Arabidopsis thaliana: one gene and its partners. Each later gene encodes a partner of the first gene's protein in a complex. Each region holds a gene or a part of one and is shown on either strand. Other genes may lie near its edges.

Evidence for each region.
Region 2: GCT (region 1) and AT1G23230 share a complex: the UniProt entries of both Arabidopsis thaliana proteins name them as parts of the mediator complex.
Region 3: GCT (region 1) and SWP share a complex: the UniProt entries of both Arabidopsis thaliana proteins name them as parts of the mediator complex.
Region 4: GCT (region 1) and MED8 share a complex: the UniProt entries of both Arabidopsis thaliana proteins name them as parts of the mediator complex.

What each region holds. Positions count from the first base shown.
Region 1 is NC_003070.9:20,634,730-20,640,688, forward strand, and holds the start of GCT (RNA polymerase II transcription mediator), read left to right. Parts: upstream 1-2,650; 5' UTR 2,651-2,864; coding exon 2,865-2,888; intron 2,889-2,969; coding exon 2,970-3,043; intron 3,044-3,136; coding exon 3,137-3,276; intron 3,277-3,362; coding exon 3,363-3,449; intron 3,450-3,610; coding exon 3,611-3,698; intron 3,699-3,787; coding exon 3,788-3,865; intron 3,866-4,112; coding exon 4,113-4,190; intron 4,191-4,279; coding exon 4,280-4,359; intron 4,360-4,612; coding exon of another isoform or gene 4,613-4,667; intron 4,668-4,763; coding exon of another isoform or gene 4,764-4,798; coding exon 4,799-4,877; intron 4,878-4,986; coding exon 4,987-5,313; intron 5,314-5,554; coding exon 5,555-5,614; intron 5,615-5,858; coding exon 5,859-5,959. Other genes in the region: AAE18 (acyl-activating enzyme 18), read left to right, coding at 1-101, 176-252, 331-551, 636-730, 808-1,024, 1,101-1,226, 1,319-1,417, 1,511-1,720 and 1 more. UniProt on the Arabidopsis thaliana protein: Component of the Mediator complex, a coactivator involved in the regulated transcription of nearly all RNA polymerase II-dependent genes.
Region 2 is NC_003070.9:8,241,662-8,250,874, reverse strand, and holds the start of AT1G23230 (mediator of RNA polymerase II transcription subunit), read right to left. Parts: upstream 6,436-9,213; 5' UTR 6,395-6,435; coding exon 6,287-6,394; intron 6,207-6,286; coding exon 6,163-6,206; intron 6,077-6,162; coding exon 5,977-6,076; intron 5,890-5,976; coding exon 4,951-5,889; intron 4,815-4,950; coding exon 4,572-4,814; intron 4,365-4,571; coding exon 4,095-4,364; intron 3,986-4,094; coding exon 3,784-3,985; intron 3,687-3,783; coding exon 3,415-3,686; intron 3,200-3,414; coding exon 3,116-3,199; intron 3,021-3,115; coding exon 2,926-3,020; intron 2,779-2,925; coding exon 2,616-2,778; intron 2,523-2,615; coding exon 2,106-2,522; intron 2,023-2,105; coding exon 1,909-2,022; intron 1,829-1,908; coding exon 1,703-1,828; intron 1,628-1,702; coding exon 1,479-1,627; intron 1,234-1,478; coding exon 993-1,233; intron 815-992; coding exon 28-814; intron 1-27. Other genes in the region: AT1G23220 (Dynein light chain type 1 family protein), read right to left, coding at 6,739-6,897, 8,031-8,261; GH9B6 (glycosyl hydrolase 9B6), read right to left, coding at 8,746-9,069, 9,155-9,213. UniProt on the Arabidopsis thaliana protein: Component of the Mediator complex, a coactivator involved in the regulated transcription of nearly all RNA polymerase II-dependent genes.
Region 3 is NC_003074.8:1,291,413-1,300,242, reverse strand, and holds the start of SWP (RNA polymerase II transcription mediator), read right to left. Parts: upstream 6,446-8,830; 5' UTR 6,207-6,445; coding exon 5,997-6,206; intron 5,440-5,996; coding exon 4,414-5,439; intron 3,999-4,413; coding exon 3,901-3,998; intron 3,825-3,900; coding exon 3,650-3,824; intron 3,572-3,649; coding exon 2,815-3,571; intron 2,731-2,814; coding exon 1,715-2,730; intron 1,610-1,714; coding exon 582-1,609; intron 490-581; coding exon 1-489. Other genes in the region: RALFL21 (RALF-like 21), read left to right, coding at 7,518-7,835. UniProt on the Arabidopsis thaliana protein: Component of the Mediator complex, a coactivator involved in the regulated transcription of nearly all RNA polymerase II-dependent genes.
Region 4 is NC_003071.7:903,257-910,387, reverse strand, and holds MED8 (mediator subunit 8), read right to left. Parts: upstream 4,876-7,131; 5' UTR 4,564-4,875; intron 4,438-4,563; 5' UTR 4,411-4,437; coding exon 4,232-4,410; intron 4,142-4,231; coding exon 4,017-4,141; intron 3,923-4,016; coding exon 3,798-3,922; intron 3,730-3,797; coding exon 3,546-3,729; intron 3,441-3,545; coding exon 3,357-3,440; intron 3,236-3,356; coding exon 3,180-3,235; intron 3,090-3,179; coding exon 2,820-3,089; intron 2,732-2,819; coding exon 2,675-2,731; intron 2,358-2,674; coding exon 2,151-2,357; intron 2,064-2,150; coding exon 2,013-2,063; intron 1,916-2,012; coding exon 1,852-1,915; intron 1,769-1,851; coding exon 1,596-1,768; 3' UTR 1,116-1,595; downstream 1-1,115. Other genes in the region: AGL30 (AGAMOUS-like 30), read right to left, coding at 6,819-7,131. UniProt on the Arabidopsis thaliana protein: Component of the Mediator complex, a coactivator involved in the regulated transcription of nearly all RNA polymerase II-dependent genes.

The DNA of each region.
Region 1 (5,959 bases):
GTCATTGTCCTCCCGGCTTCAGGTACTGAATTGCATGTTCAGTTAAGAGAACAGGATGTATCATGGATGGATTTTCTTTCCAACGCCAAACCCCATTCTAGGTAAATTGTTTACATCTCTACACTTGCAATCACTCAGAGAGTGTAGATAAGACATGCTCCAATTTTGCTTGCAGTGGAGAGAACTACTATCGTCCGATTTATCTACCTGTAGAGTCTGTGATTAACATTCTCTTCTCATCTGGAACTACAGGTAAAAATAATGTGATCATCAAATTGTAATAGATTTTGTTTAGATGCATCTAATGATTAGTTCTTTTTTCTTAACCAGGTGAGCCGAAAGCTATACCGTGGACACAACTATCACCAATTCGTAGTGCTTGTGATGGATGGGCTCATCTTGATGTCCAAGTGGGTCACACATATTGTTGGCCTACAAATCTTGGATGGGTAATGGGACCAACTCTTATGTTCTCCTGCTTTCTAACTGGTGCAACTCTCGCTCTCTACAGCGGGTCTCCCCTTGGCCGCGGTTTTGGAAAGTTTGTTCAGGCAAGACATCTCCATTGTTGTCTCCTTTTCAATTTTAGTAAGGTTCGATAAATCCTCACTTATTTGTGCTTGATATTACTTCAGGATGCTGGAGTTACAGTTCTTGGTACTGTTCCAAGCTTGGTGAAAACTTGGAAGAGAACAAACTGTATGGAAGGGCTTAATTGGACAAAGATTAAGTAAGGAGCAACAAACCTTGTTTTGTTTTCGGGTTTATACGAGAAATTTTAACTTAGAAGCTGTTGTGTTTTGTTAGGTTTTTCGCCACTACAGGAGAAGCTTCCAATGTTGACGATGTTCTCTGGCTTTCTTCTAAAGCTGATTACAAACCTGTGATCGAATGCTGTGGAGGCACGGAACTTGCTTCGTCATACATCATAGGAAGCCCTCTTCAACCGCAGGCTTTTGGAGCGTTTAGCACACCATCCATGACAACTAGAATCATCATCTTCGATGAAAATGGCGTCCCATATGTGACAAACTGAAACTTTAGACATTTGGAGTATTTTCTTAGAATATCCAGAGATTGATGTAGACTGGTTTTTGCAGCCGGATGATCAACCATGTACTGGAGAAGTCGGTTTGTTCCCCCAGCACCTTGGGGCCACGGATAGACTTCTGAATGCAAATCACGACGAGGTTTACTTCAAGGGAATGCCCATGTATAAGGAAACAGTGAGTAGTTTTAGAACTTCTATATTTACATCTAAACAAAATTGCAAACTTACGTCAGTTAAACGATTCCTCTGTTCTGTTGCGTTCTGCAGCGACTTAGAAGACACGGTGACATTGTGAAGCGAACTGTTGGAGGATATTACAATGTTCAAGGTAGAGCTGATGATACCATGAACCTTGGAGGCATTAAGGTACTACATACATTGTATGTCTATATACCCAACTTCGATTAGAGTTGGAACTTTTCTCAAGTTTTCATCTTTTGTTTATCTGTTATAACGCAGACGAGTTCTATTGAGATCGAACGTGTGTGTGATCAAGCTGATGAGTGCATCTCTGAGACAGCTGCAGTCACCTTAACACCACCTAACGGTGGTCCAGAGTTGCTGGTCATATTCGCAGTCTTGAAAGAAGGGTTCAAGCAACAGAGTGGAGAAGAGCTAAAGATGAAATTTTCAAGAACCATTCAAAAAGATCTTAATCCTCTCTTCAAGGTAATCAATATCTTTGATGAGTTTTTCTATAAATTCAAAGTTATTATAAGATTTTTTGTGTGCTTAAAAATGGATTTTGCAAAAATATTGCAGGTGAGTTTTGTGAAGATTGTGCCGGAGTTTCCAAGAACAGCTTCTAGCAAGCTACTGAGAAGAGTCTTGAGAGATCAGATTAAGCAAGAACTACTATCCTTACGAAGTCGAATATAAAGCCTTGATCTTAAGTTTAACTAGAATAAAATAAGATCTGCTGAGTAGTAGTTGATCTACACATGATTGGGTACTGCTCGGTCCAAATAAGAAAACCGATTAAATCAAATCTACCGGTCCTTGAATTCTCTAGCCTGATTCACATTTACATGACTAAACACTTTGACTTTGTTATGTTTGTGTTTGTGTTTGGTGTATATATTTCATATCAGATTATAATCTTAATTTTCCTCAAGATTATCTTTTGTTTAAATTTGTAAAAATATTTCGGACGATACTCATACATCCCATAAGGCTTTGAGACATCTGAATAGTATCACCACGAATGACCTATGGAACCAGAAGACAACTAGCCGCACCCAACGATACAAAGATAGCGTTAAGATCATTCGAGGTCTAGCTATATCGTGGTATACAAAATCTAGAAAATATAAAGTAAAACCATAGCATTGTTTGGTTCATTTGATTGATGCAAGTCAAACAAACTCGAAAGAATGAGATCTTAATACCAAAACTTCAAAAACACTTGATATTAAACACCTTATTTGGAGGAAACTCTTTTATGATGCTTGTGGTTGGCGGTTTTTTTTTTTGAACCAGAGTGTTGTGAAAATAATGAATTGGGCCTGACTAAAACAAATTGGGCCACAGAAAAAAAAAGAATTAGTAAGAGCAACAAAAAAAAAAGAACCCTAAAGAGCGCGTTTGGATCTGGTTTTATGAAAACCACGAGAGATTTCGTGTTGAGATGATTATGATGTATTGAAGAGTTTTGATCAAAAGAGAGATATAAACCTCGCAACATCAAGAGAAGATCGAGCTAGAAATTGACAACGTCTTCCAATTCCGAGCGCTTCAAGACGATGATTTTGGGGTTATAGCCTATAATTTGAAGAAAAAAAAGGATTGAACTTGTTGTATCTATCCCCAAGTGATGTGGACTAATGTTTTCAGAATTGTAAGTCTTATTCTATCATCTTTTTCCCATTGTGTGTGAAAATTGACTTATTGGTAATACATGATGATTTTTCTTCTACAGGGTGGTCTACATAATGTTTCTTGGTTTCAGTTTCTTCCAAGTGAAACTGAGCTGAATCCTGGCTTTGATAGAAGGTTAAAGCTTTAAGCTTTTTCAATGGGTTGTTTTAGTTTTTCCTTATTGACATTGTACTAATTAGTCTGGTCACTCTGGAGTTTTTTTTTCAGTTCAAGAGCTGAGCAGAATGAAGTTGCAACATATCTTGTACTTTCCTCTCATCTACGGTTGCAGAAGGAAGGGTTTCTTACCACTTGGACCAATTCTTTTGTTGGACCTTGGGATCCATCTCAAGGTTTATACAACCCTGGTAATGCTAAATCTCAATCTGGTACTTTTAAATTTTGTAACTTTATTTACAGTTGTATCTAACCATCATTCCTCGCTGCTGCTCAGATGAAAAGATTAAGCTTTGGCTTTTTCTACCTGGGCGTCATTCATCAATATCTGATAAAGCTCAGGCTGCTGTGTCAAAGCTTAGAGGTATATTCTCCTTATGATTTATTTTCTTCATCGTATTTTGTCGCCTCAATAGATTCAAACATATTGTCTCTATTCTGATTATGACTGTTTAGTGAACATGCCTGTGGTCTATGGTTATCTTGGTATACTTGTCCTTACTTTTCTTTTTCTCCTGTTGAAAGTTGTTGCGTCAGGAATTTGGGTAGCACCTGGGGACTCTGAAGAGATATCAGTTGCCTTTTCACAGTCTTTACGTAATTGCATCGAAAGGTTAGTTTTTTATTATCTGCAGACATAATGGTTGGATTAAGGAAATAATGGATTAGAGTATCATATTAACTTGTTTGATATCGCCACAGAGCATTATCTGGAATTTCCTACATGAGATTTGGAGATGTGTTTTCAAAATTCAGCCCTCAAAGCGAAGAATATTTGAGGTATCTGCAACCTCTTACCAATATAAGCGAGACCATGCGTTATAATCTCTGATGGTTTATTAGCAAATATATCGTCTTTTTTCTCTATGGCTTTTCGATTATGTATTATCCTATAGCTTTCATTAAATAGGGTCTGTGAGACCTAGGTTTCCTGAGTGTAATTCTTAGAATCCAAAGAATTCTATGATTAGGTCTGTGGCTCGCTAATGCTCTGTGGCTCGCTAATGCTCTGTGGATATTTATGTAGGAGGGGACAGCCTACTGTTGAATTCATCTTTGCTGCTACCGAAGAGGCAGTTTTTGTCCATGTCATTATATCTGCCAAGTCCGTAAAGCTTTTTGTTATACTGTTTCAGTTATGGTTTAGTGCTTCACATAGTTATTGAAACTAACTATAATATTTTATGCACGAAGGAATGTCCGCACACTTTCAAGTGGCGATGCTGAAAGAATGTTAAGGAGTTCTTTGAAAAACTCCAGTTATAGGCTTCCAGGTTAGTTATTTTTCCATCATCATTTGGATTGATAAATTATCCTACTTGTCTACGATTTTGATGGAACTAGTTCTAGATGTTTGTTGACCTCTTCTTGCTTTGTACTGTTAGAATACTGTATAGATTGAGAGCATTTTGAACTCAATTTTCAATGCATCCACTCCAAAAAGAAACCTAGTGTAGTCTAGTGCTACTGCTACCTAGCTTCATCAAGCAAAGATTTAACACCTCATTTTTTTGCATGTCACAAGAGCTTTTCGTAAATGTTTGGGATTGGCCAAGAGTGAGGATAATAGATTATGCTACATGTAATTCTATGAAGCCAAACTTTTTGAATTGATACCTGAAATGAAATCCGCCTTCTACACATGCTTAAAGAAAGATAAGAGCTTTTTATTTGATAGAAACACTTCTCACAGGCCTATGTTATTCCCACCAGTTATTGTTTCTCCTCATGGAATGCGGGGCAGCCTTACTGGATTCTGTCCCAATGACCTTGTCAAGCAAGTCTACTTCAGGTACATTTCATACCTTTGCTTTCGAATGCCAAGTCAACATTTTTTGTGAGTGCGTAGCCGTTAATCTGATTAATCCAATTTTCTCAACTAATACTTTTTTCTCACACAGTTCTGGAAACTTAAAAACTTCGACTGGATATGTTGGTCTCCCTTCTCATATTGGTCGTGGGTCCCGTCTGATAAATGGCAATCATTGCTACGTGGAAGTTACACTTGGTTGCTGCCAAAATAGAAATGACAACACAAGTCAAGCTAATTCGACCTTTGCAGTTAACTTGCCCCATAACCAGTGTCCTGAACCTTCAGTTGGGAGTAAAGATCACCGTAAAGGACAATCAGATCTTTCATCAGTTTGTGAAAAAAAGTTCATCTATCCAGCTGAGGCAGTGCTTGTACCAATCTTACAGTCGGCATTTGCGAAATTTTCTTTGAAAAGGTAAATTGACTAGGTGAGGTGGTTATTTAGAATTCATTGAGTACTTAACGGTAAGATCCAGATTGGCTATACATAAAATTTATTTCGTTTCTGTTGAATTCCATGTATGTATTAAAACAAATTGACTCTGTGTGATCGTAGTGGAAGTTTTAGTAATTGTTTCAGACCCATGTTAAATAGATGTAATAGTTGTGATCTTTCCTCAGCTTGGAGCTGATGCAAGGTGAAATCATACTTGCAGATTTTGGCTTCAAAACTGGATAGGCCCGTCACTAGCAGGCTCATCTTTGTTTATGCACTGGTGAGTCTTTTTCATCTATCTCGTCGACATTTGAAGATCAAAAGAAATCCACAAAACAGAGGTCTTGAAATGCCCAAACTGTTCTGAGAAACCGAATGTTTTGTAATCTTCATTATTTGAAGCACCATAGGAGTGAGAGCTGTGGCATTTCCGAGTTTTGTTCCAATGTTATACGTAACGATTTTGTTTTTCATTATAACAGTCTGTCCATGATCCCTGTATATGTGAACTTTATTTTATGCAGGGCTGGTGATTTTGACTGCCTTGGTGCGTCTGAAAATAAGAGTGATGGGTTTTATGAAAAAAATGGTTACAATAGCAGTGGTAGTAGCCGTAATAGCAGCA
Region 2 (9,213 bases), about 12 Mb from region 1:
CTTCTAGATCCAGAAACTATAGCGTACCTATGGCGGTCGAGGTGTTATCCTGAGCAGCCCATGTAGGATCCATCAAAGCGTATCCAACAGCTGAGTCTAGTTCACCTTGTGATCTCTTCCCGTCCTTAAGCCACCATGTTTCCCTTGTCACACGTGCTGCCTCCAAGTAAAGCTGTACGTGAAAATCTGGAGGGAGCTGAGCCAACAGAAGTCCACAAGCTTGAATCAACAGACACGACAGTTGCTGACATGTATAACCGCTTCTAGAGACAAAGCTCGCTGTGTTGATACCAGGAATCAGACAAGTGGACCGGCTAGCGCTCATGGAGTCTGTGCTCCCTCCAGAGGGAGACGTTGGCAGTACCGACCCTTGTCCCACCCCGTTGGCAGCGCCGTGGAACCCGTTTCCAGATTGAATCAGAGTCGATTGTATGTTGACAATTATCTGGACAAGCGAAGAGACAATCTGAGCAGCAGAGACAGGAAGCGAGAGGATCTCGATCACGGCTGTCTCAAGAACCAGTTGCGTGTAAGTTCCTGGGTCCTGGATCTGATAGAATGCTTTCTGGCCCTCAGAGGCGTTTGCTGGTCCAGGCTGAGATGTTCCTGGAGTTTTTCCATGAGGAGGTCTTGCTGAGCTGTTTAAGATGTCTGCCATTGAGCCAGACCTCGAGCTGCAGTTGCTGCTGCTGCTAAGTGGAGGTATAACATTGTTTACGAGATTAAGCAGAAGAGAGGCAAAGTAATCTAGAGGTGGGCATACAGGTGCACCGGTAGGGCTAATGTACTGCGGGAATGATTCAGAGAATGGAATCTGCGGAAATGTCAAAAGATTTGTTACGTTCCATTTTAATCGAATGTGGAAACGATTACGGACAAAGGTATCTAGATAAATTGGTGAGAAACAAAATCTCTAAACTAAAATCCAAAAGCGGCATCAACTTGAGGTCAATTTCAGAATCAATGTAAGATCGGGAATTGTTTTCAATTACCTTGCTGAGATCAAGTACTTTGAGCATGCGCAGAACAAGTTTCCCAGGAAGATGGCCATAGAAATAGGCTAGTATATCACGGACAAACGTGAATCTGAGAGGATGATACGCTAGAAAATGCGAGTGTGCAAGCAAAAGATTATCAGCTTGCTCCATCGCATTGTTCTCGATGAGCCTGTAAAGCACTAGAGGGATAACTGGAAGCAAACGCGCTGCAATATCATCAAAGAACGTTGGATACCTGCGTTTAACACAATAAAAAAATAGGTAAAACATTTACCCAACTTTAGCAGAATCCAACACCAAAATTAAAACAGATCAAACCAAAATTCAACTATTTCCTAGTCATACACAAGTTTTCATGGAAGGTTCCATCACACATTTATGGTTGGATGCCAACAAAACCAATCAAACAATCAAAGCCATGTACTTAAGTGAAATTGTTGTTAGAAATCAGTTACACTGATGTTGAATTGGATATATTACCTGTCCTTCCAAGAAAGATGGTTACCCAGGGCCTTCTGGAGTTCATTGCGTTTGAACACCTGTGTGACAAGCCAGTGCTCAGGAGACCCACGGTTTTGGCAGTAGTTTTTTATCCTCAGCAGAAGGTCTGGCGTTTTAAGTAGGCTCATCTGTAAATAAATTGAAAACAACACTGTAAAATTTCTATGATGTTAAGCTTCTTTTACGTAAAAGCATGAACATACTGCAATTATCAAGGCGTGAGGATCATCATCACGGTCAATGAGCGCCAAAAGAAAAATGTCGAGAGGAAGCATTTCATGTGTCCAGAAGAAAAATGCAAGATTTGCGCCTGCCTTGTCTAGAACTGCCTAAAAAATATTACGATGCAATGTAAGAAGATGGATCAAGCAACGAAAAGTGAGGTTAATCTCTTCTGGCAGACAGAAACCTCTAGAGATTGTCCTTGCTGAAGGTCTACATGAACGTGGTGAAGCAAAACATCGACCAAAGTGTATATGTTAGCAGTGACTTCTTCAGGAGAAACTTCTCTCAGAACTCGTGCCTGATAATCATTTGGAAGAGAAAATCATACCACTATCAACAAACAATCATTTCACAATTATGAATAGACTAAGCAAAGCAAACCAGATTTGTGCTGTTGATGTTTTCAGCGTGGCCTTGCATCAGCAGACAAGCACCAGCACATAGATACTGACGGTGTTGAGGAAAACTGTGACTGAGGTATGTTGAAACGTAAGCGGGTTCAGCAGATGGTGAGAGAAGTTGAGTGCACTGGTTTATCACAGTTGTTTCAGCCTGTTGCCATGCCTGAATTGATAGGCCCCTCTTGTCTACCCGTCCTTTCAAAGTTTCACGGAGAAGGGATGGGAAATGCCGCATCGTCTTCTCTGACCATGTATGCTGACTCGTCGCGAGTATTTGTTCCAACATGGTTTGCAGATAAACCATGTGATCAGGGTCTGCGATACCACGTGTTTTGATAGTGATAGCAAGAGTCATGATGGTTATGCGATTTAACGTCTCAGTGAATTCAGTTGGCCCCTAGTGATGATAACATAAGAACAATTATTTACACCTGAGATCCAGGCACAAAATAAGAAGGGGGACAGTGAGTAATTCGAAAACACCACTTACTTTTCCCTCCCGTTTCACAGAGAAAAAGTCTCTGAGTGATAAAATGAGATTCATGCATAAGTTTTCAGCTAGTCTGAATATACGGTGGTCACCACGTTTTCCTTTCAATGCAGATATTATTTTAGTAACATCATACATTAAAGTTTTACTCTTTCCTTGGTATCTGCAATAAGATCAGTAATTTTGTTTAGTCGGGTCTAACAGCCAATATGGCGAAAGCCCGAAACAATTGTCATCTAACTAAAAGAATGACCCAGTTAAAACATAAAGAAGGATCTACTCCAACTTGAGAACTTTTCGCTCGTTTTACCTGTAGAGTGGCAGCAACCGATAGTTCAGAATCTCAAGAACAAGTAACGTCACTCCAGGCTTGCTTAGCAGAGAAGCATTTCGCTGGGCCAATTGCTACAGAAAGTTAGCTAATCTTATGAATCGCTTATGATCAATAAAACATAAGATAATGAAAGTCAAAAGGTAACAGAAGGAACCAAATAGCTTACACTGAAATGTGAACGGAACATCGAATGAGGGGAAATCAGAAGCAATCTTGTGTATGTCTCAACCATTGCAATGCTAGGAACAACCTGCACTCAGATGTTTTACTACGACACTAAATTCATTTTTCTCAGGTTTTTTAAAATCTACTATTAACATTTTTAAACAAGTAAAACGCTAAAGTTGTTTTACTAAACCGTGGAGAAAATAGGTCACTAAGTAAAAATGACCAAAGAAGATGTTCTTCATAGATCAGTGTATCAATTAACATATATAATATCTTTGTGAGACAAAGGAAACAAACCTGGCTAACAAACAAAGCTTCTTCCATCTGAAGGGCCAATTTCAAGCACAAATTCATTGAAAAGCCAGATAGCAATGACATAGGTAACGGGGTAACTTCCTGCGTCATCATTACTCGGTCGTTTGGCTGTAATCCCGGTAACTCAGCCATGCCAGCTGAAGATAGCCAATTTATAACTGTTTCACATGCTGGTTGTGCCATGGTGTAGGAAACAACCCAAAACATGCCAATCGACCTATCATCCATATTCATATAATCCATCATCCGCTCTCCTGACAACCCCAAACAAGAAACAGAATGAGAGGATGCTTTTTATAATCGGGATTCTCTGCTTCCTAGTCTAAGCCCTGCCATTGAAACCTTATGTACCTTTGCTTCTCCACCACTCATCGATCTGTTTTCCCTTCAACAGCTGTTCATTGTTTAGGTATGCCCTAGTTGTTGTGCTTAGTGACCAAATCCGTAGATTCTGACAACTGCTTACGAAGTCAAGCAACACACTCTGAGGATTGTTGGGATCAGAATTTCTGTCTTCCCTGTGAAATGATAAGATCTTCCTAGTAGTCTCCACCTGAGAGAAAACCCAAATAGAGCACAAATTGGGATGTTAAATTCGCCGAAAAAGAAGTACAAGTAATTGCATTGCAGCTGCAAACATATCATTGTAATTGAGTAACGACCTTTTTAGCATCTGAGTTCAAAGCAGTCATCACAAGCTCCACGCGTATTATTTGTGCAAGCAGCCAAGTCACATGATTCGTCCGAAGAATATGGTTATCAACACCGTTAAGGCGTAAAACCAACTTGTCAATGAAATCAACAAAATCAGTACACCCACTTTTGATTAGAAAGAAGAATATATCCGAGAAAACCAGCCACTCTTGCCAGCAATTTGCATCTGCATAGAGAGGGGGAAAAGTAACAGATACCAAATCAATACCAAAGCAATCCTAGTATAATGGTATCTCAACTCTTACTTTTATCTTTTCTATCTAAGCCTAACGAATCAACGATTATAGAACTAGAATAAAACGTAAAGGATGTAGGTTCTTTACAGATTGTGACGACTAGCAAAACCACTTGCTATTTCAAAATAATTTCCACAGATTTAAATGGAAGTGACAGATCAAAGACATGAGAAATAGGGAAAGACAAACATTGCCTGAGTTGGTCAGCTTAAGAAGCTCAACAATTCTGTCAATGATTGCCTCACAAATCATGTCAGAAGTGAATACAGCACCAGGGATAGGCCCTGCTTGTGTAGATGGTCTATAACAAGGGGCCACAACAAGAACACGCTTCCACCAGTCCGGTGACGGTGTAGTGCGAATAGCATGTCTAATGCAACGCACTGCTCTCTCCCAATCCAGGCTTCCTTTTGGAATAGACATCGCCAGATCCTGCCGGTGTCGAAAAAGAAGAAGAGAGGATTGAAATTCACAAATTGTCTGCCTAATGAAAAGCGTATACATTACACAATATCAACAAGAGCCAACTAAGCTATGAAACCAATCTCCACAATTTCATAGGAATCACCTCTCCATATAAAGGTTCCCCAAGCACACTTGGATATGTAATTGGTGAATGTCGTAAGTGTGGCACAGCTTCGGGTGGAACATTGGCAGTTATTTGGGAGACTATACGATGGGTACCAAATGATGGACAGTGAAGATGTTGGTCCAACATGAGCATATGCATGGCCATCGCATCTCGCCTCCGGTGTATCTCCATGATAAGAGTGAACAAGGCTTCATCATCAGGTATGTTCTCTATAAACTGTAGACCACTGCGCAATAACTCATAAAACGGAATTCGAGATTCACCCTCTTCTACCAACAGCCAGATCACATCCAAACAACTCCGCAACCATTCAGCTAAAGTCTTCTCAGATCTCCACGACTTTCCTACAGAGTCCTCAGTTCCCAGATCTCTCCTGTCCCAGTTAACAAGCCAATTCATCATGTACTGGAAAATCTCGGCATGAGTAACGGGTTTGAGACTAGATTCAACGCCAATCAAGATAATCTTGCAACTGAGCTGACGCAGACTGTTTACAGCAGCAGCTCTAATCCGTTGACTATTTCTCATAGCATTCTCTCTTACAATCTGGCCAGCTCTTGCAATCTGCTGCCCATTCTCCACAGATTTCACCTCTGAAGCTGATGGAGAACCAATACCATGAGCTGAAGGCAGCAATGACGTTGGATTCACAGACACAGGAACTACAGACTGCGAAGAAGTAGCAGAAGAACCAGCCGTTGCCGCTGCTGCTTGAACACCTTGGCTTAACGACGCCTCAGCAGCGGAAACGGAAGAGAGAAGGGATGGTAAAAAAGTATCCCAATTGATATAACTAATCCTACACAATGTACGCAAAGCAAAGAGTAGAAACTCAGCACGAGGCGCATGATTGCTACATTGCACCACCAGAGATATCAAAACTGACTCAGTAATCGTCCTCAATTGCTCTGGATCCTAACAAAGAGTTGGAAAAAAAAAAAAAACTTTATCTTACGAAATCACAAAGAGAAAGATAAAGATAGTTAAAAAACGAGACTTTACATTGAATTGGCTCTGAAGCAGCTCAAAATCCAAAAGGAATTGCTCGTTTCTTGGTGGTAAGTCTCTATTAGGAGCATGAACACGCTTCTGTGATTTGTTCCTGATCAAAACAATCAACATGGATAAAATCAAACACAGAAGGAAGAGAAAACAAGAGTTGATTCAGAATCAATAGAAACAACATACGGGGGATCTCGGAGGGACTCATCAGGCTTTTGACGGCTTCCTCTCTGTGATAGAGAAAGCAAAATCAGCAGAGAAACAAAATTCGATGAAAAAAATTGGGAGATTGGAGAAGAGATTAACCAACCCCTAAGTAGAGATTGAAAAGATCGATAATTGCAGCACGAGCTGGGTGGAATTGGTACGATCGAGAAGACGATGGCGTTGCAGCGACTGTTCGCTGCGATTGATCCATTTTTTTTTCTTCTTCACTGATTCTTTTTTTCTTTGATGCTTATAAAACGGAGGAGCAAAATTGGTATTAGAGGTTTTGGGTTTAAAGCTCTTTTGAAGAGAAGAAAATGTCAACAACAACAACAACACAACAACGAAAAAAACAAAATTAGAATTTGAGAAAGAGAAGAACAATATTTTGCATTGTGAAGTTGAAACGATTCACAGTAGAGAAGATGACTTCTAATTACACAATAGGAGCCACAAAGATTTTGTCTTAGGCAGAATTACATTGTGGGATACAAGACAGAGAATTCTAAAAGAAAAGGATTAAATTGAAGATGCTCTGATCATCAACGTTTTATCTCATTTTTGATCTAACGGCTCCACGGCAGTCTTGAAGAGAAGAACGTAAACTTTGTCGATCTGAAAATATAGGAATCCTCCTGTGGAATGAGTCACGTATGAACCAAAGCTTGTTCCAACAATGCAGTGCCATGCCGGGCCGTAGGCTGAATCGAAGTCCTGAAATGGAAGACAGATGGAAAACTGTTTCGTGAATATATAGTTTTAAATCAGCTGCAACATGTCATTAGACAGATGGGAGTCTAAGATTCACTTCAGTGGATAACATAGAAGCTGGATTTAGGAGAAAACATAGAGACAAGAAACATATGAAGATCTATTTCGAGATAAGAGATCTATATTACCAGAACAAGAAGATAAAACAAGACAACAGCAGAAATTGACTCGTATGTCAATCCTAAAAGCCAAAGGGAGGTAGCCATTATTAAGAGATTGATGAACACTGAGACAAACAAGTAAGCTGCACACAGATAAGTGAACACTAAATTGTTTTACTCAACCACTTCATAAAATCAATGTATGGATCAATCAATGCCTCTACCTAGTCGCATAAATTGAGGGAACTGCTCCATTTCGCTCCATAAGTTAAAATCAAAAGCTAATTATCAAAGCCGCTTTAAGAAGGAACAATATCCTCACGAGAAACAACTGCATAAATGGACAACTCTATATATGGGGTGTCGAACCAAGTCCTTTGTAAAAGGTTGTATTCAGGCAAGGCTCACTTCCTAAAGCAAGCATGCTTCAGAGTTATCATTAGGTAGCAACTAATTTCTAACAGCAAAGATACAGAAGCTTAGCAGATGGTGCATGCTATGCCTCATTAGTTATGGCCTAAGACAGCTCCAAAATCATCTCAATAAACAACAAGAACATCCAGTTTCAAGACATTTCACAACGAGACTCCTACTACAGTTATCCTCGCAATACAAAAACAACCTAGTCAAGTAGACTAACCGAAGCTACAAATAGAAAAGACAACAACAATGGAACAAAGTCAAATGCAACCTAACAAATATGGGACCATCCATGAAGTTCAACAATATGCAAGTACACAAACGAAAATCCAAATTCAAGATTCATCACATCTTCAAACCAATCAAGAAAGAGAAGACCATAACCACATTCTACAAAAAGCATGCGACTTTGAGACGTAGCCCTAGAACCCAAAAGCAGCTCAATACTTTTAGATTCTGTGTCAAAATTCAAAACTCAATCCAAGTACTAGACTTCAATGACTCCAATTCAACCCAAATACAGAAAAATCATGAGAGAGATACAAAAGATCTAACCTTTTTTAGGGCATGAGCGAGTCTTTTGTTATCAGCCTTCCCTGGAGTAGCATTCAAAATCTCACGCGACAAACTAAAGGCTCTGTTCTGTTGAGGCAAAGGCATATCTGAAGCCCTAACACGAACATTGAACTCATCTTTCTGATCTTGCTGTTCTTTAGCCTTCTTCTTCTGTATCAAACTGTTCAAGAACTTGCTTCTTCTTTCTAATTCTAGCTCAACTCCTTCCATCTCTATCACATCACTCGTCTAAGCCCCTCGTTTTCACTTTTTCCTCCGTCTAATCGGAGAGAAAAACCAAGCTTAGTGTCTGTCTCCTTGTTAGTTCTTAAGCTGATTCAGAAACGAGCACCATCTGTTTGACAAAATGTCTGAGAGTGAGAAGAGGTAATTGCGTGGAGGAGACAAAATAGCGTTCTTTTGTGTTAAGCGTAAAGCAGCCGACCAAAGTCCAAAAGACAAATTCCTGATTTTTGATTAGTTTGGTCATCAAAATATTAATTACTCTTGTCTCCCCCTTTCTCTCATTATTACTCTTTGTTTTTCCTAACTCCCATATGATTAAAAATTGATTATTGTGTACTCGATTAATTTATACAATTATTTGTTCGTAGATTTAGAGAATCTAGTGAATCTACTAATCGGTAACAATCAACTAAAAATGTTTCACAACAAAAATAGACTTTCATGCTTCGTTCGAGTTCGAGGTGTGAAATCAATAATGGGCCGAGAAATAACCAAGTAGGCCCAAAAGAGGTGCGTTGATATAAGTAGTGGGCTCAGTCAGCTGAAAGTAAGGTCTCGAATCAGGAAAATCGTCGGTGATATTAGGCCCACCAACGACGGCGCCAATTAGCAAATTAGGATTAGGATTATTGCTGAAGAAATAACGAGATCCGTCTTTGCACCCTATACGATCAGGATGGTCCACAACTGAAGGAACCGAGCTGCCACGATGATGAATCTTCTGTGGAAACCTCGAACCATACCCAACCATGTACGACATTTTCATTGGATTATCTCCTAGTATGTAGTCCACCTATGTTAACGTACGCCACCAAACACTTACGTTAATGAATCTCTCTATTATGCTAAAACAGAGGAATGTTGGTTAGTTTAGTTACCTGACGCTTGGCGACTTGACGGAGAAGAGCAGGAGAAGCTGTAAATTCGCCACATGGCA
Region 3 (8,830 bases), on another chromosome or scaffold:
GCTCCTCCAGCCGCGTTTATATGGGGTATGTGCACAGGATCAAGAACAACGGTTAGCGCAAAGTCAACCGTGTTGTGCGGCCGGTCGTAATGGATATTGCTTTTAGCTGCACAATTGTTGTCTAAATCTGTACCAGAATGGTTCTCTAGACATAGCTCGATTCGAGGTCTCTGTGCAGGAGCAATCTCTCCAGCTTGTTGTGATTGGGATAATCCTTTTTTCCAAGCTATCAGTTTCAGAAACTCTCTCAAGACCGATATGGGTAACGTGAGGAGTGTTATGAAAGAGGCAACTCTTGAGGCATCATACGGTTCTGATGCGACACGGCGGCTGAAATAATCGCAGATTTCTCCAATCTCGGATTGGGTTAACTCCTCTTGAGCCGCAGCAGAAGAACCATTTTGTTGTGCTTGGTGATGGAATCGCCTTACGCTAAGGACTTGAAGAAGGAGCTGAACTCTATGGACACTCACCGCAAACACATAGCCACTGCAAAAACAAAAACAACAAAAAAACAAAACAATAGATAAGCTTAAGCATAATCCTTCAAGATTGAGCATAAGTTTCTTGGTTTGGCTTACCCGACAAAGAAGCGTAAGGCTGGTTGTTCTTGGTCTAAATTCAAGAGAGCGCCTTCGTTATCCTTCAAGATGGAACCCAAGATCTCTCTTAAGAGATCTGGTAACTGAGCAAATAGCCACAGTACTCCAAGATATTTAAGGATACCACGCAAAACCTTTTTAAGAGCCACAAGAGGAACCCATCCTCCGCCATAGCCACCGTCATCACCTAAACCGATTATCGCTGTGTTTAATTCACCTCTTACATGCGCTGGTACAGCAGTGCCTGGTGTTCTACGCACAGGCAATCCTGAGCTAACCACTAAAGATCCTGAAGCAACACTGGCTACTCGATTCATTGCAGCTCTTGCACTAGAAGGGGAAAAGTTAACTCTGTTCACACCGTTAACAGTTGGGTTTCCACTGTTGGGATTTGTTGCTCCTTGGCTACCTGTCAAATTTGGTTCTAAACCGTTCAATTCTTGAGCAACATGCTCCATGATGAAAGGTCTGAATTGGGGACATGGCAAGGAGCCTCCAATAGAAGCACCACCCTTGGGTGGAGTTGCTGGCTGCAACCAGACTTGATCTCCAGCAAAACATCTCATGTCTACTGCAAAACGTTTACGGTATATGATCCTTATCCAATAGGGTCCACGGAGTACTACAGAGACATCGATGGGCAAGAGAGAGCTTGGAACGATGCCAGGTCCGCTTCTCCCTGCAGCTGCTAGCATTGCAACTCCATGGAAACCTCCACCAAGTGGGCTTGGAGCAGAAGAAGCAACAGTATTTCCTGAAGTTGCTGAGGCAGACTGGCCAGTAGCATTAGGAGCTGCTAAAGTTGAAGGGGCAATGATTCCTTGAGTTTGTTGTATCTGATTTGATTGTCTTGAAGACGCTGTAGCAGGTACAACAGGCATGCCAGTGGCAGTACTAGCTCGGGCAGGGCGAGTAGCGGCAGCTAATGCATGCAAAGGCCCAGCAGTAAGGCGAATGCAATCCAAAAGGGATTCTACCTCTGCTCCGTTTATGAAATCCTCCAAGAACTGTACAAGAGTAACTCACGATGAGAAAAAGCATATATTTGGAACTCTTATAATAAAAATATTTCCCATGAAGAGAGCAAATGTTAAGTCCTGCGAACTACTCACCTTTGTATGTGGCCATAGTTGGTCAGGAGAGACATGCATGGTGCATCCATCTTTACCTGATTCCCACTCGACAACAAAACGCGCCAAAACGCCTGAACCAAAGCTAAACCACAGGCTTGTTAATCCCACAGCCTCAATCTTGAAAGCTCTCCACCTATCTACTGGCTCACCACTGCCTTTTCCTCCAGTAGATCCTTTCATAGTGGAATTAGCACTGCACTCTTCTGTTTTTTCATCTGGCTTTATGCCAAGTAGTTTCCGCATACCAAGGGAGAACATTCTAGCATTTGAAAGCCTTTGTATGTCGGCCACAAGCTTCTTTATACTATCGGCTTCCACAGACTGATAGCTCAGAACAACACCTTCAGGGTCATAACGGATATGAGAATCAACATCAGATGAATTCGCAATGTGAACTCCAGAACCCCATGGTGTGGTTTTACTTCCCTTTTGAAGTTCCCAGAGATCCCTAAAGTGTTGGTCATTTATTTTCACATCCCAACACATGCTTCCAGGTCTACCAAGCTGCAAGCATATATGTTGCCAGGAATCATTTTGAGCAAATGGAAGCCTGAACCATATATCTGAAAATGCATCTCTTAGTCCCATTTCCTCAACATATTGAATATCCAATGCCTCCATCTGACTAGTTAGTTTGGCATGCTTTATGGACAACGAAGAATGCCTGACCACATGGAGAAGAGCATAAACAAAAACGCTTGAAGGTGCATTCCCCTTGTTTGCTTCAGCTATGAGATTCCCATAGCTGCATCCTATAGTTTTTGTTGATGTTGACACGGCAGTGGATAAGGTCTGTGATGCAGGGCTCCAACTCTTCACTAATTCACTCTGTACCAGTTCAGAGGTTTTTCTTCTCTTATTGGGACTAGCAACACCTTCCACTACCTGGAGGGATGGGATCAATCTTAGCAAATCTGAAGCTGAACGTTTCCGGGGCTTCTGATCTTTCCTTAACAAAGGACCAGCAGATGATGTTGCAAGATCAGCTGTTTGAGCTGCAAATAACGGAAATTTTTGAATTCTAATATTGAGAAAGTTCTATGAAGGTAAAAAAAAAGGCTATGGAAAAATGTTCTTACATAGGGGAAGAGGTGACAATGAGGATTCAGTGACCAGTCTAGAGCCTGACTCAGAGACTCCATTCCCAGTAGAGAGGGATGGAGACAGTATCAGGGATAACTCCTGGTCAGAGTTAGAGATGGCTATCTTCTTCATAGCTGAACCCTTCCCAGGGGGAGATGATAACATATTATAAGAGCTAGATTGTAAGGGACCCTGTCGATTATACAAGGAATCTGAATGATAGCTAGTCAACATTGGAGCTTTTCCATGGCCGGTAACAGCAGAGAGATTTTTGGGAACTAAACCATGTCCATCAATTGACATAAGAGCAGATGTCACTTTCTGAAGTCCAAACACTCCATCTACGACACTAGAGAAACTCAACTGGCTTCCACTCATTTCTGTCAAAGCCTCGTCAACCAATCCAGGCTGACGGTGTCCAGATGCTTGATTTATGCCCTCAGCATCCGAGAATGAAGATACAAATTTAACCACATCGGATGTAATCAAGTTAAGATCATCTTCGAGAATCCGTATCTGCCCTATATCAATTTTCTTAGCTCGCAAAATATTGCTTGGATCATTGAAAGACTGAGGTTTTCCCGAACCATCCATCTGAGTTTCCAGTAATTTAAACAATGGTGTGAAGTCCTTTTCGAGCTCCATTAGCAAAAGGTGAGAGCTTTCACAGTCAGGGAATCCCAAAGTCAGAATGCTTGACCCATCCAAGAGGCTTTTAGGAACTTTGTTTATACCAAAACCATGTTCATAGACCTGCATTAAACGCAAACGTCAACACTCCCAACTCCAGAGAGTGAATTTGAACAACAAGCTGAGGCAAACAATTACTACCTCAAGACCCAAAAATTTGCCAATAGCAGCAAAAAAATGCAAAATACTTTTGCTTCTCAAGTTGATAAAGGCATCAACTGCAGATATACTTCCTTGGTTTAACGCATCTTCAAATTCCTCCAAGATGGAGGAGGTCAAGATACTCTTGGATGACTGTAGAAGAAACCGACCAGTCCTGCAATCAATAACATATAGTGAGAATAGTCAGCTAAAATAAGATCTCTCCCAATACATAGATGAAGATATCATACCTTATATTTATCCCCAGTGTGAAAAATGAAGATCCATAGGCTCGCACTCGTAAGACCTCTGGCTCTACTCGCTCTTTAGAGTCTACCATGTTATCTCCCTAAAAGAATGGCGAAAGAGAAAATGATCCAATTAAATTCAATTAGTTGTTGAGACAGCAAGAGAAATATGGCCTAACTATACTAGCTCCCCAGCCAAAAGAAGCTAGGCAATAGGCCATGTGAACTGCAAAAATTAAACTACTTTTTCGAAAAAATATAAATTATCGAAACCTAGGTTCGGCCATCTCTGAAATTTAAATTTGCGATTATTAATGCTTAATCTCATGGTCTATAGCATGAAAGCTATGCATTATTTAGCAAGGGCTATGTGTCATAAACAGAAATCTATCTATTGACATGCAAGTGACATACTAAATGTCCAACTAGTGTAAGTAGCTCTGACCTGGGAAAAAGTCCTACAACTTTCAAGGAACAAAATATTCAACATTAAGCCGAAAACAACTCTTTCTTTACCTCAATACCAGGCTCATCCAGGAGGGCTTGAAGGATCACATCACTTGGAGTTCGACAAATACGAGTATTCCTCAAAAGCTCTTTCTGAATTTCAAGAAGACGGGTATATCTATTACAGCATATAGCTTTAAGCAGAAGCTTCTCCACGTCAATGCAGCTCTGGTCGAGAGAAAACTCAGCTTCCTTGCCAGTAAGTGGGTCAATTACAAATGTGCTGTGAGAACATTTAATCTGGAGATCTGACCCTGGTTCAATTTTAATAAATGGGCCAGAATTTTTATCAGAATCTGACCAGTAAAAAAGTTTCATTCCTGGCGTTCGAAGACTAACAGAATCTGCCTCTCCTTCTTGGTTCGCTGGTGTGGTACCAGTATCTGAAATTAAGTCGAAGCGAATTGCATCTTTCCATCTCCCCTGCAGAAGAGCTCGGACCTGTCTTATGACTGTGTCCATGACAATGGCAACGCACAGCTCATGGAGCACCGCATATAAAATTGTGAATGGATTTTCTGCCACGGACATTCGACGCTCTAAATCATCTCCAAGGATATGCCGTCTTGTCACTTCAAGTTTAATGGGGCCACTTCTTTCACCAACAAGTAGATCCAAATGCAATATCCGCCACATGGATAGGTGCCCTCGGTAACCAAGAGTAACAAGAACTTTAAATTCCCCATCGACAGATAAGGTAACTGTACCTTTAGAAATTTTCACCTCTGTTATTTCTTTTGGAAGTGTGATTTCAAGCAGTTTGGAACGTACAAGTACCTCCAGCTTTCTTAGAGCTGGTTTCTGTTGATGCTCATCCAAAGAGCTCTGCATGCCCACATCATCTAGACACTTTGGCAGGCGCTGATAAGAACCTGTCAGCAAAATCTCAACAGCAGAGGGAACGTCATAGACAGGAGCGCGAGCTTGCTGTAGACCTTCATGCATAAAAAACAGCGAATCCGCAGCTTGTGTGAAGCATATGTCATGAGCTGATAATGTACTCCCAAGGTCTTGAAAGTAGTTTATAAGAGGAACCTGCAGCCCAGGAGGTTTAGCCAAAAATGAATAAATAGCTCAATAAATTTTCGAATACTTACTCTGTAAAGAAAGTGAACACAAGCAAGCATCAACAATCTATGAAATCATAATTTTTTAAAATGGAACGTTGATCTGAAGTAAACTACCTTGAATTTTTACAGAGACACTACAGTCATAAATTTCTTAAAATATGCAGAAATAACAGAAGTACATGATAACATTGATAAGCCTACTTGGAATGTGAAGTTCCATGGAATTTAAGAGACAAATCTAAACTTTAGTAGACAAGCAACGTAATCCAAACAACAAAAACCCATCAAGGACAAGATCACACAAAAGGATCTTCCAATTCCATTCAAAGTCTGTAAATCATCCTACAAACATCAAAACTATATCCACGGGAAATGTGTTTAAAACTAATAGATCATGCAATCAACAAAACCAAACCCTAATCTTGCAACATATCCAATTCCAGTCCAAGAAAGCTTCAAACTTTCACTTCGACCCACAGACCCAAAACGTTAATACTTAGCGAGAAACAGAGAAAGACAAACCTGTTTACACCACTTGGCGAGGGCATTGAGGCGGAGCATCCGTTGCTGAGTCTTAGCGACATACTTAAGGAGGCTAACCTTCTTCTCAGTATCAGAAAGCTCCGTCGACTTAGACTTATCCACAAGTTCCTTAAAAGAAAGGAACGATTCCTCTGCGGCTCGACCAACAAGAGCAGAGAAATCCACCGTCTGTTGCCCTAATTCCGCCATCGCGGAGAAAGAAACAAAATCGCCACCACCCGATTCAGAAACTTAGGAGATCTCACGATTCGTAAAAAATTAGGGTTCTTATCCTCCGCTTCCCCCACCACGACGACAAAAGCACAAAGCTTCCCTTTTCCAGCAACCGGATTTGATTCGGACAAGAGAGACAGAGAAAAAGGGTTTAAAATTGAAAGGGGTCAGGGAAGAGTCGAACGCAAAACGTTGAACGGAAGATGAAAAAAAAAAAAAAAAAAACGATTTTTGGAGAAATCGGCTGAAGAAGCCTTTTTTTTTAACAGACGGCAAAATCTAATTTTTGTGTGGGGTCTCTCTTTTATCCACGTAAGCAAGTAAGTCACTATTAAATTATTAATTAGACATTTTAACCATCATTAAAAAGGTTAATTACAAAATTATCATTAATGTACACTACACTCTTAAGTAGAAGATGTGTGATGTATTAATGTATATATGGTGAATAGTGTGTATAACAATTGGACGGTGAAAACGTTGTTCCGAGTTCCGACAATAAACGGTGAATAGTAATACTGTAATAGTGTATAACAATTTTTCATAAGGAACCACAAGAAACACTTATTTGAGATTTTGGTACGAGGTTTATTTTTCTATGAAGCAATAGTAATACTGTAATAGTGTAACGCATGTAGGAGTAGCAAGGCCTTCTCACTTGTCCAACTAATTTATGTTGGGCGGCAAATAAAGAACCAGCATGAATTTTTATATATACTTTGAACCCAATACCAAAAAGCCCAGCGATGTGTTCATTCTAATAGTTGTCTACAACCAATTTTGACACACTATTTTGGTGTATTTATAATTATTATTAGTTTATGATATTTGCATATTATTGATGTAAAAAAATTTCTGTAAGAAAAAAGTGCTTTGTTTTCACCTCCATGTACTGGAAGAACATGAAACCTAATATATTGATATACTATATTAGAGTACATAGAACTCTTTGACCAAAAAAAAAAGAGTACATAGAACTCAAATATTGTTGACTACTTTGGCTATAAAACTGTTTTGTATTAGTATTACTATGACCACAACATGCATATCTAAAAGCTAGTTTGACTACTTTGGCTAAAAAAGGACTATATCTATAATACATGTATTACTAAAGAATTCTGTAGGTACATTTTCTACCGGTCAATTCAACATCCTATTGTAATTTCCTTTTAAGTAAAAGTTGTATAAGACTCTTTCACAATTATTTATTCACTATAAATACCACGAACTGTACCATTCTTACCAACAAATATATATTTCTCCCACACACATAAATAAACACAAATCATGAGCAATATGAAAATAACAAATAGGTTTATGCTAGTGGCAACATTCATAGCATGTGTGTTCATAAGCAGCATGAACATGACGGTTGGAAAAGTAATTGGGTATCCAGGGTTGAAGCCTGATCTTCCTTGTGATCATCATCGGTATCCTTCTGCATGTGCACCCTCCGAACAACCAGTGAATCCTTACAGACGGGGATGTAGTAAAATACATAGATGTAGACGCGATTCACCCCCTGCACCAATTTCTAGAAAAATGTTAATACGAGGTCAATTAATTTATAATAATGCATATAATGCATATATCCAATATCCATGAATAATAAATTTATGGGTTTGGTTGTGTTTAAGCCATGTTGTTCTCTACATCTACACATTTACCTTAATATTTTTCAGCATGTATTATTGTATTACGATATATACAGTGGTGAAATCTTGTTTTATCATTCAGTTTTGTTCGATTTAAGCTCCTTCTTATTAATGGTAAAATAAAACAAATCAGATCACATATATTCATAGCATTTAAGGACCTAGTGTGTCACACGTGTGAACCTGTAATGTTTGTTATACACAACAAGACAATGATTTTTGACTGGGCCCAGCCCACACGAGGGTCCTAACATCTCTCAACAGGGTTGGTGTTTTTGGGCCCAGGTGGACCCTTTTATCTCATTCTCCTCCTCCTCCTCACGTTTATATGAAATTTTTCACCTATATAAATTTAATCAATTTTATTTATATAAAATTCTTGACATGTAGATTATAAGATTAAGATGAAGTCGTTGTCAATTTGGACCTTCAATTTTTTATGTCAGATTCTTCCATCGTAATCATGCATGGGGGCATGAACATGATGATGTTTAGCAATAAATGATGTTGATGATCATTATGCTGTTATAATTTTATTATATATAATTTGCATGGAGCCATTTATTTATCAACGCTATTATTATTATGCTCCTTTGTGAAAAAATACTACATTACCATATTTTAGGGTCGACGAAATGGGCATGACATGTACCGCCGCCCATACCACATATGGTTGACCATTTACTGTTGAGTTAGTCGTGTTTGGCCCTCCCCACCGAAGATTATATAACCCAATACACATAAGAATTAGTTAGCATTTGCACCTGCATAGAAAAAAATTAGCACTAGATTAAATTATTCCCAGCATTATACTATATTATAATCATTGATCGGAAGGAATGTTTCCTAATTACATAATTGGTAATCATGTTTAACGCACAATTACTTGAATTAACATGAATCCCTAATTATCTATTGACTTCACAATAATCCATGAATTTAGAG
Region 4 (7,131 bases), on another chromosome or scaffold:
ATATCATATCAATCATAAATGGATTTTAGACAATATAATATTTATAAAATGATATTGAATATAGATGCAACTATTCAAAACTGGAATGCTAAAACATTAATACATGTTTGCATCACCTACCACCGGGTTATGAATAGTTACAAAATTAGTTATATAATTATAAAATTGGTAATTTATATATTCATTATTGTAATAATAAATCACAAAAATTAACAATTAATAAGCATGATTATCTTCTTTAACGATTTTCTTTGTAGAATCATTGAATCATGCGATAGTAATTATAGAAACAAATGATAAGCATGATTCTCTTCTTTATTGAATCATTGAAAACATGCTTTTACCGATCTATACTATAATCATCGATCGGCTCATATTGTTTTGTTTCAATAATAGAAAATAAATACTATGAACCATGAGTCGATAAGTAAACATGGTTCTTAAAAAAATGTAAGAATCTCTATATCTACCTTTTAGAGCGTCCTGATAACGTGTTATAAACAGAGAAAGAGATAGAAGAAAATGAGTGTGTTATTCCATTGAGGTAAAGGGTTCTTTATATAGGATTACAAGGAAAGGGTAAAACCTTAGAAACATCTAGATGATGAGTTTAGATGATGGGCGTTATAATGAGCATCCATCTTTATTCATAACAAGTTGAGGTTTGTTTTGGGTTTTTTCCCTATAATAAAGCATTTATTTCATATAATATATAGTAAAATATTTATTTTATATAAAATTAATTTAAAGAAAATTATGCATTGAATATTTATATTAAAGAAAATAATATATCAAATCAAAGCCTTTGAGATGATGAGTTCAATTATATCTTTAAAACTTTTGAATACAAATATATGTTATAGTGAAAACGTTTATAACATATGCAAAATCGCACAAATAAATTATATTGTGTATTATTTTAAATTTTATAAATTTATTTTGCATTTTTTGAATGTGCACAATAAATTGTAAAAATAAGCGATTTTGAGTGATTTTTTCGCAAATTCCTAAAAACCAAAGTAAACTAGTTTTTCATATTTGTAACAAAAGCAAACAAAAAATTTAAAAGAAATGGTAACTAAATTTCAAAATTTGATTGAGGTAACTAAACGAGTCGTTGAGCTAAATAAGTACATAAAAAATGAGTATATAAAATTAAGTTGACAAGAAACAAAACAAATTGTCAGAAAATTTAATAGCTTTCGAGTCGCAGTTTTAAAGCTCTCTGTTTAAAGTTCAGAAAACAGGTAAACTTCATAGACACGTCGCTCTCTCGAGTCCCGTGTACAACAGAAACGCGTCTTCGTTTTGTCTCTATAACCCCATCAACGGCGTCGAGATGTTCACGTCGATGCCACGTGTCGAATTCTCAATAAACATGTCAGAACGAAAACAATCCTCCACCGTCCAATCTCTGCTTCACGTTTTTAACCTCATACAATGATACAAGTAAACAAAGTGTACTAGTGTAGTGTGAAAGTACCATACAACTAGAGAAATCTGGTGAGTGTATTAATGTTAAAGAATGGGCCAGGCCTTTGGTACTACAAAATACAGGCATCGGCCCATTACAAGCCCAAATTATTTAAAAGGGGTTATTGAGGATTTTGGTGCCTTTGTTGAGCATTCTGCATCATGTTATTAGGCTGTAGACTCTGCTGATTCGTCTGCATATTTCCATAGCCTCCTTGTTGTTGCTGCTGCTGCTGCTGTTGCGATTGCTGAATTTGTGTTTGCTGTGTTTGCATCATTCCGCTGGTGTTAAACACTGTAAAGATAGGACAAATGAAATAGTCAGGGAATCGATTTTGATGTAAGAAAACATGTTTTAGAAGAGATTTGTTTACTTACTCTGGTCACCCAACATTTGAGACGAATGGCTTCTTTGGGGATTGGTACCCGAAACTCCAAATTGCTGACAACCATAAAAATCCAAAGAGATCATCAGATTAAGACAATGTTCATCGTTCAGATTTGGGAAACATAATGAGTAGAGGAGTTTTTGAGCTAACCTGCATCCTAGGAACAAGTGTCTGAGATTGCATAGATGACATGTTTGGTATCTAGAATTAAAAGAAAAAGTACGTAGAAAATATGATTAGTAATTGTTTCGAATCATCAATTCAAGAGGTTAAAGAGAGGTGACTGACCATTTGGCTACTTGGGGAGCCTTGTGCAGAAGTAAACAATGCACTATTGGCTCCACCTGAAAACTGGTTTAAGTGACGGTTCATCGCTGGATTGAGCTGTCCTTGAGACATGCTATGCTGAATATGTCCACCTGAGAGCTGTCTAGCTTGGAATTGTTGGTGCGCGCCCATTGGCTGGGAATATGGCATTTGATGTTGCCCATGTGACTGAAAAATAAGATAAAACTCACACTTAAAAGACAAAAGCTTGTTTCATAATTTCATTTGATTCTACTGTTTGAAACTACGAACTGTCACAGTTACTTTTATATAAAAGCTTCTGCCAAGTCCCAAGATCTAGGATAACTTTTCAAGAGTATGAATCATTCACTTGGTATATGTAAACTTGTATAAATACGTCTAGTCATCTTCATTTATGGCCATAACTACTGCATAATGATACAAATAATTGACCAAGGTAGTGTCTGATCCTTTTCACTTCACACATCTATCCCCTAACTATGTTGTAGTTCTATTTATCTTACCGTCTGAAACTTTTGCTGAGCTTGCCCATGCATATCATGAAGTGCTGGTATCTGACTCTACACAAAGAATTAGCATGTTGCTCAATAAAGCAGTATGGTAGGAAAAAACAGTCAATTGCTACGTCTGCAAAATGTCAAAGCCTACTTGACCCAATCCCTGCATAGAAGATTGCCTGAGCTGTTGTTGTTGTTGTGCAAGTAGTTGCTGCTGCTGATGTTGAGGCAACTGCATTAATTTTGACCTTTGCTGCTGCTGTTGAAACTGTTGTTGCTGGATTTGATGCTGAGGCGAAGGCACATTAACCATACCCGTAGCGCGAGGAGAATTGGAATATGGTAAGGGAGATGTTGTGTTATCAAAATTAGGACCAGATGGAGATGCAGCTGATCTTCCCACAAATTGAGTCCCGGAAACCTAAAAACACACAAAGACATGAACCTCGAAAGACAATGATACTAACAAAAGTAATAATCATCACAACTAGAGAGAATAAACTAGTTTAACCTGCATCATTCCTTGATTGTTAATGTTGTTTGATTGCCCAGGTAATGCAATCTTACCTAATGAAAGAGAATTTTTGGAGCCATTAACAACGTGAGAATACCATTGGTAGTAGTAACAAAATAAAGAAGATTCAAGCATTGGGTTTACTTCTACCAGACAGATCAATGAAATCGTTACCTGCATCATTGATAATTAGCACATCTGCCAGATGTGGTGGAAGTGCAGTGGTTATCTGTCTCTGGTCTGGAGGCAGTTGTGTTCCTAGAAACAACCATTGTAAAAGAACATGAGAAGGAATTCAGCAAAACAGAAAACTGCAGTTTCGTACACTATCAAATGACTCAATAAATTCTAAAACCCTCTTACCTTTACCGTCATTTACAGCATCTCGTAGCATTTTCTCCTGCTCCTGAATCTTTGCAGCTTGACCTTTATCCATAGTAGGAAGCATAGACGGGCCTTGACGAGTGCCAAATCCGTAAGCTTTACGAGTATCAGCTAATACTCTTTCTGCATTTTCACAAGCTGCTGCAATCATATCCATCCTCGCCTGTAATAACAGATACCATTTCAAAAACCAGCAAACAAATCACAACAAAAATACATTACAAAACTAACCTTAAGCCTTTCGATTTGCATTGGTATAGGCAAACTCTGAACACCTTGAAGCAACTGCTCTCTCTTGGCATTGTCATCAGTTTCCATCTCCGGTAGTAATTTCGAAGACAACATAACCGGTAAAACTGCAGATTCACTGATAAATGCTAAGCTAAACCAGTTCATCACATTCACAATTCATTTAACTCATCAACTAAAACAACTAAAAAAAGACCATACTTGCAGCGTTCATAGCATTGACGTTCTTAGGAAGCACAACAAACGCATTTGAAACTCTCTTTACTTCTTCCACAATGTTAAAAAGCTCGAGATTTACCATCGAATACTGCCCTAGAATATCCTGCCTGTTCAAAACAAAAAGAAAATCAATCCTTGTTACAAAAAATTCATAAACATCAAAATATTATCAAATTCTGGATTCGATGATGATGAACCATTTAGGAGTAGTGTTGGTTCGACCATAAGCGTCGAAATCTTCAAGGATTCGAGCAATGGCTTTGGCCAAGCTAACGGCTCGTGTCTTCAACGACTCCAGATTCAGTTCCTTCTCCAGTTTTGGATTCAGCTTCTCAGCTACCGGAGGAGGAGGTGGTTGCTGCGGCTGTGTCTCCATTGATAACACAGAGCTAATACACAAACCCTAATTCCAAATTTAACGTAATTAGGGGTTTTTAACATCACAGCGAATTGAACAAATTAATTAGGTTTCCGATTTGAAATTGACACAAAAGTTTCGATTAGAAACACACACAAAAGAGAAACTTACGAATTAGAAAACGAGGAATGCGCAAAATCTCGAAGAAGGCTTTGATTTGGAGAAGTTAGTTATTGGAGAAGACGAGAGAGTGTGTTTGAGAAATAGAACCGGGAAATATAATAACATACCGAATCCATAACATATATATGTGTTTCCTCTTTGAAAACTTACAAGGTTGCAACAAATAGACAGAGCGGATAAATCCGTTTGCAGACTAGACCAATATGTCGCTAAGACGGACAAATCTGTTTGCGGAGTAGACCATTATATTTCTAAGACGGACAATAATCCGTTACGGACCAAGTTTTGTTTTTTTGCTTTCAAATAAACTATTTGTTGGTCCGTAATAGAGTTTTGCGTGATTTGTAGATATAACACTTTTTTACTAAATAATTAACCAACTAACACCATAAATTTGTAAATGTAGTAAATAACCTTCAAGGAGAGTAAAAAGACATCACTGTCCTGGTGTTACGCTTCGTCAGCGAAGAAGGAGAATGATTAGTGTGAGCTGACGTGACTTTATTATTGGTGTTGAGGTGAGAAGAGAAATAGGTGGTAGGAGAGAAATTCTCTTTTCTCTTTCTTTTTTCTTTACTCCTTTTCAATTGTAACTCATATTATCTGATCTTAAAAAATTTAATTCAAGTTCATGATATATCTATTAAAAAGTTGTATAGTTTTCTACAAATATCATGACTTAAATTTTTGAAAATAGACACAAAATAATTTAGATGTGAATAGTGTTGTCAATGAATAACATAACGTTCTATATAAATTGACAATATTTTTTGATGGAAGTATACTAAACCCTAAAGGGATAATATATAGGGAACCCAAGGGTTTAAATCTAAAACATTAATGAAATCACTTAACATCTTTAATCAAAACAAACAATTCATTTTAAAACGTATATAGAACAAGGTATACGTAAATAGTATACTATTTACAAAATAGAATAGTATCTCTCAAAATGCAACAACGGAACTCAATTTCATCACCAATACACCAAGCGCAACAACGGAACCCTATTTCATCATCAAGTGCAACAACGAAAGTCAATTCCCTGAACCTAACTTGTGTTCCTCGCTCTGTAATTCGAAACCCCCAAATCAAATATCACCCTAAAGTAATTAAGAGACTCTAATTTGAAATAAAAAACAAGTAACGAGGTAGGTGTAGGAACTTTATTGGGAGGAGAAAGAGAGAGGGGGAGAAAAAAAGAAAGAGAGAGAAAGAGAGAGAGAGAAAAAGATAGAGGGGAGAGAGAAGGGAAGAGAGAGGTAGACGGAAAGAGATAGAGGGGGTAAACTTGGAATTAATATATAAAATATAGAGGATATCATTGCTTTTTTTTTTATGCTAGTTTCTTAATTATATTTTTTTTTGGTTAGTTTTCCAATTCCCCTAGAGTTTTTATATTTTTTCCTATTTACTAAACTGCGGACCAAAATTATGAATAGTGAATAAAAAACGGTCTTTGTACGCAAGTTAGTCCGTCCCATTGTAAACCCACTCAAGGAAATGGTTCTTACAAAGTAAAACTATTTAAGAAGATATTAGTAACTTGTGTGAAAGATACTGTTGGCTTTGTTGATGGTTCTTGGTGATTCAAAATCCTAGAAGAATCATCCAATGTAGTCTCTCTAACCCATAAACATAAGCTTCCTTAGTTCATCCTACATAACTTGTAAACTTTTGTATAAATCACTTAATAAACAAGAGTACTTTGAAGACAAAAACAAAAACAAAAATGTAGTAAACATTGTTTTGTTTGTTTGTTTTACATTGAAAGAATGAAAAAGAATAGATACAGAGGCTAGAGTTTGTGGGAAGGGAAGGAAGAGAGAGTTTCTCATCTTTTGGCTGTCATGGCGTTACTTTGACAGCCCTCCAAAGACACTACTAACTTTTATCGCCGGAGAAATATGGAAAACCTCAAAAAATCTCATCTGACTGAGAAATTATGTATAGAAAAGAATTAAGTGACATCTATTGAAGATATAGAAAAAATAAATGAACACGTATTGTGTGTGGTTTGGTTGCACAATCTACCAGGGATTACCACTGGTTTTTTTCTTCTTGGAACCAATTCAGAAATCGGCAGAGTTTTAGCTTTCTTGCTGTTTCTGAAAAAAAATATTGGTTTGAGTTTCTTCAGTGAGATGTTTTATCATCATTCATCAAATCTCTCTCAGTTCGGCTGCTGCATCTATAAGAAAGAAGAACAAATTGTCAAATCAGTCTACAAAACAAAAACCCATTTAGAATCTCTGAGAAAGTTTTGTTTTGGTTACCTGGGAAAACAAGTATTCGTCGAACATTGAGATTGAGCAAGGCAAGGAGCTGCTGCTAGAACCAAACCTGGTTTGGTTGGTGTTGTCGTTGTAAGCAGAAGAATCAGGTGGTGGTGCTTCAAAGAATCCATTCATATGATACTCTCTCTGATTCATTGGAATATACACCTGAGCATGCGGAAGAGTAAGAGGAAGAGGAGGAGGAGGCAACGTTTGGTGATGATTCATATCATTGTGAAGATTGGGATTGTATGCTGTGATATTATTATTATTAGTGAAC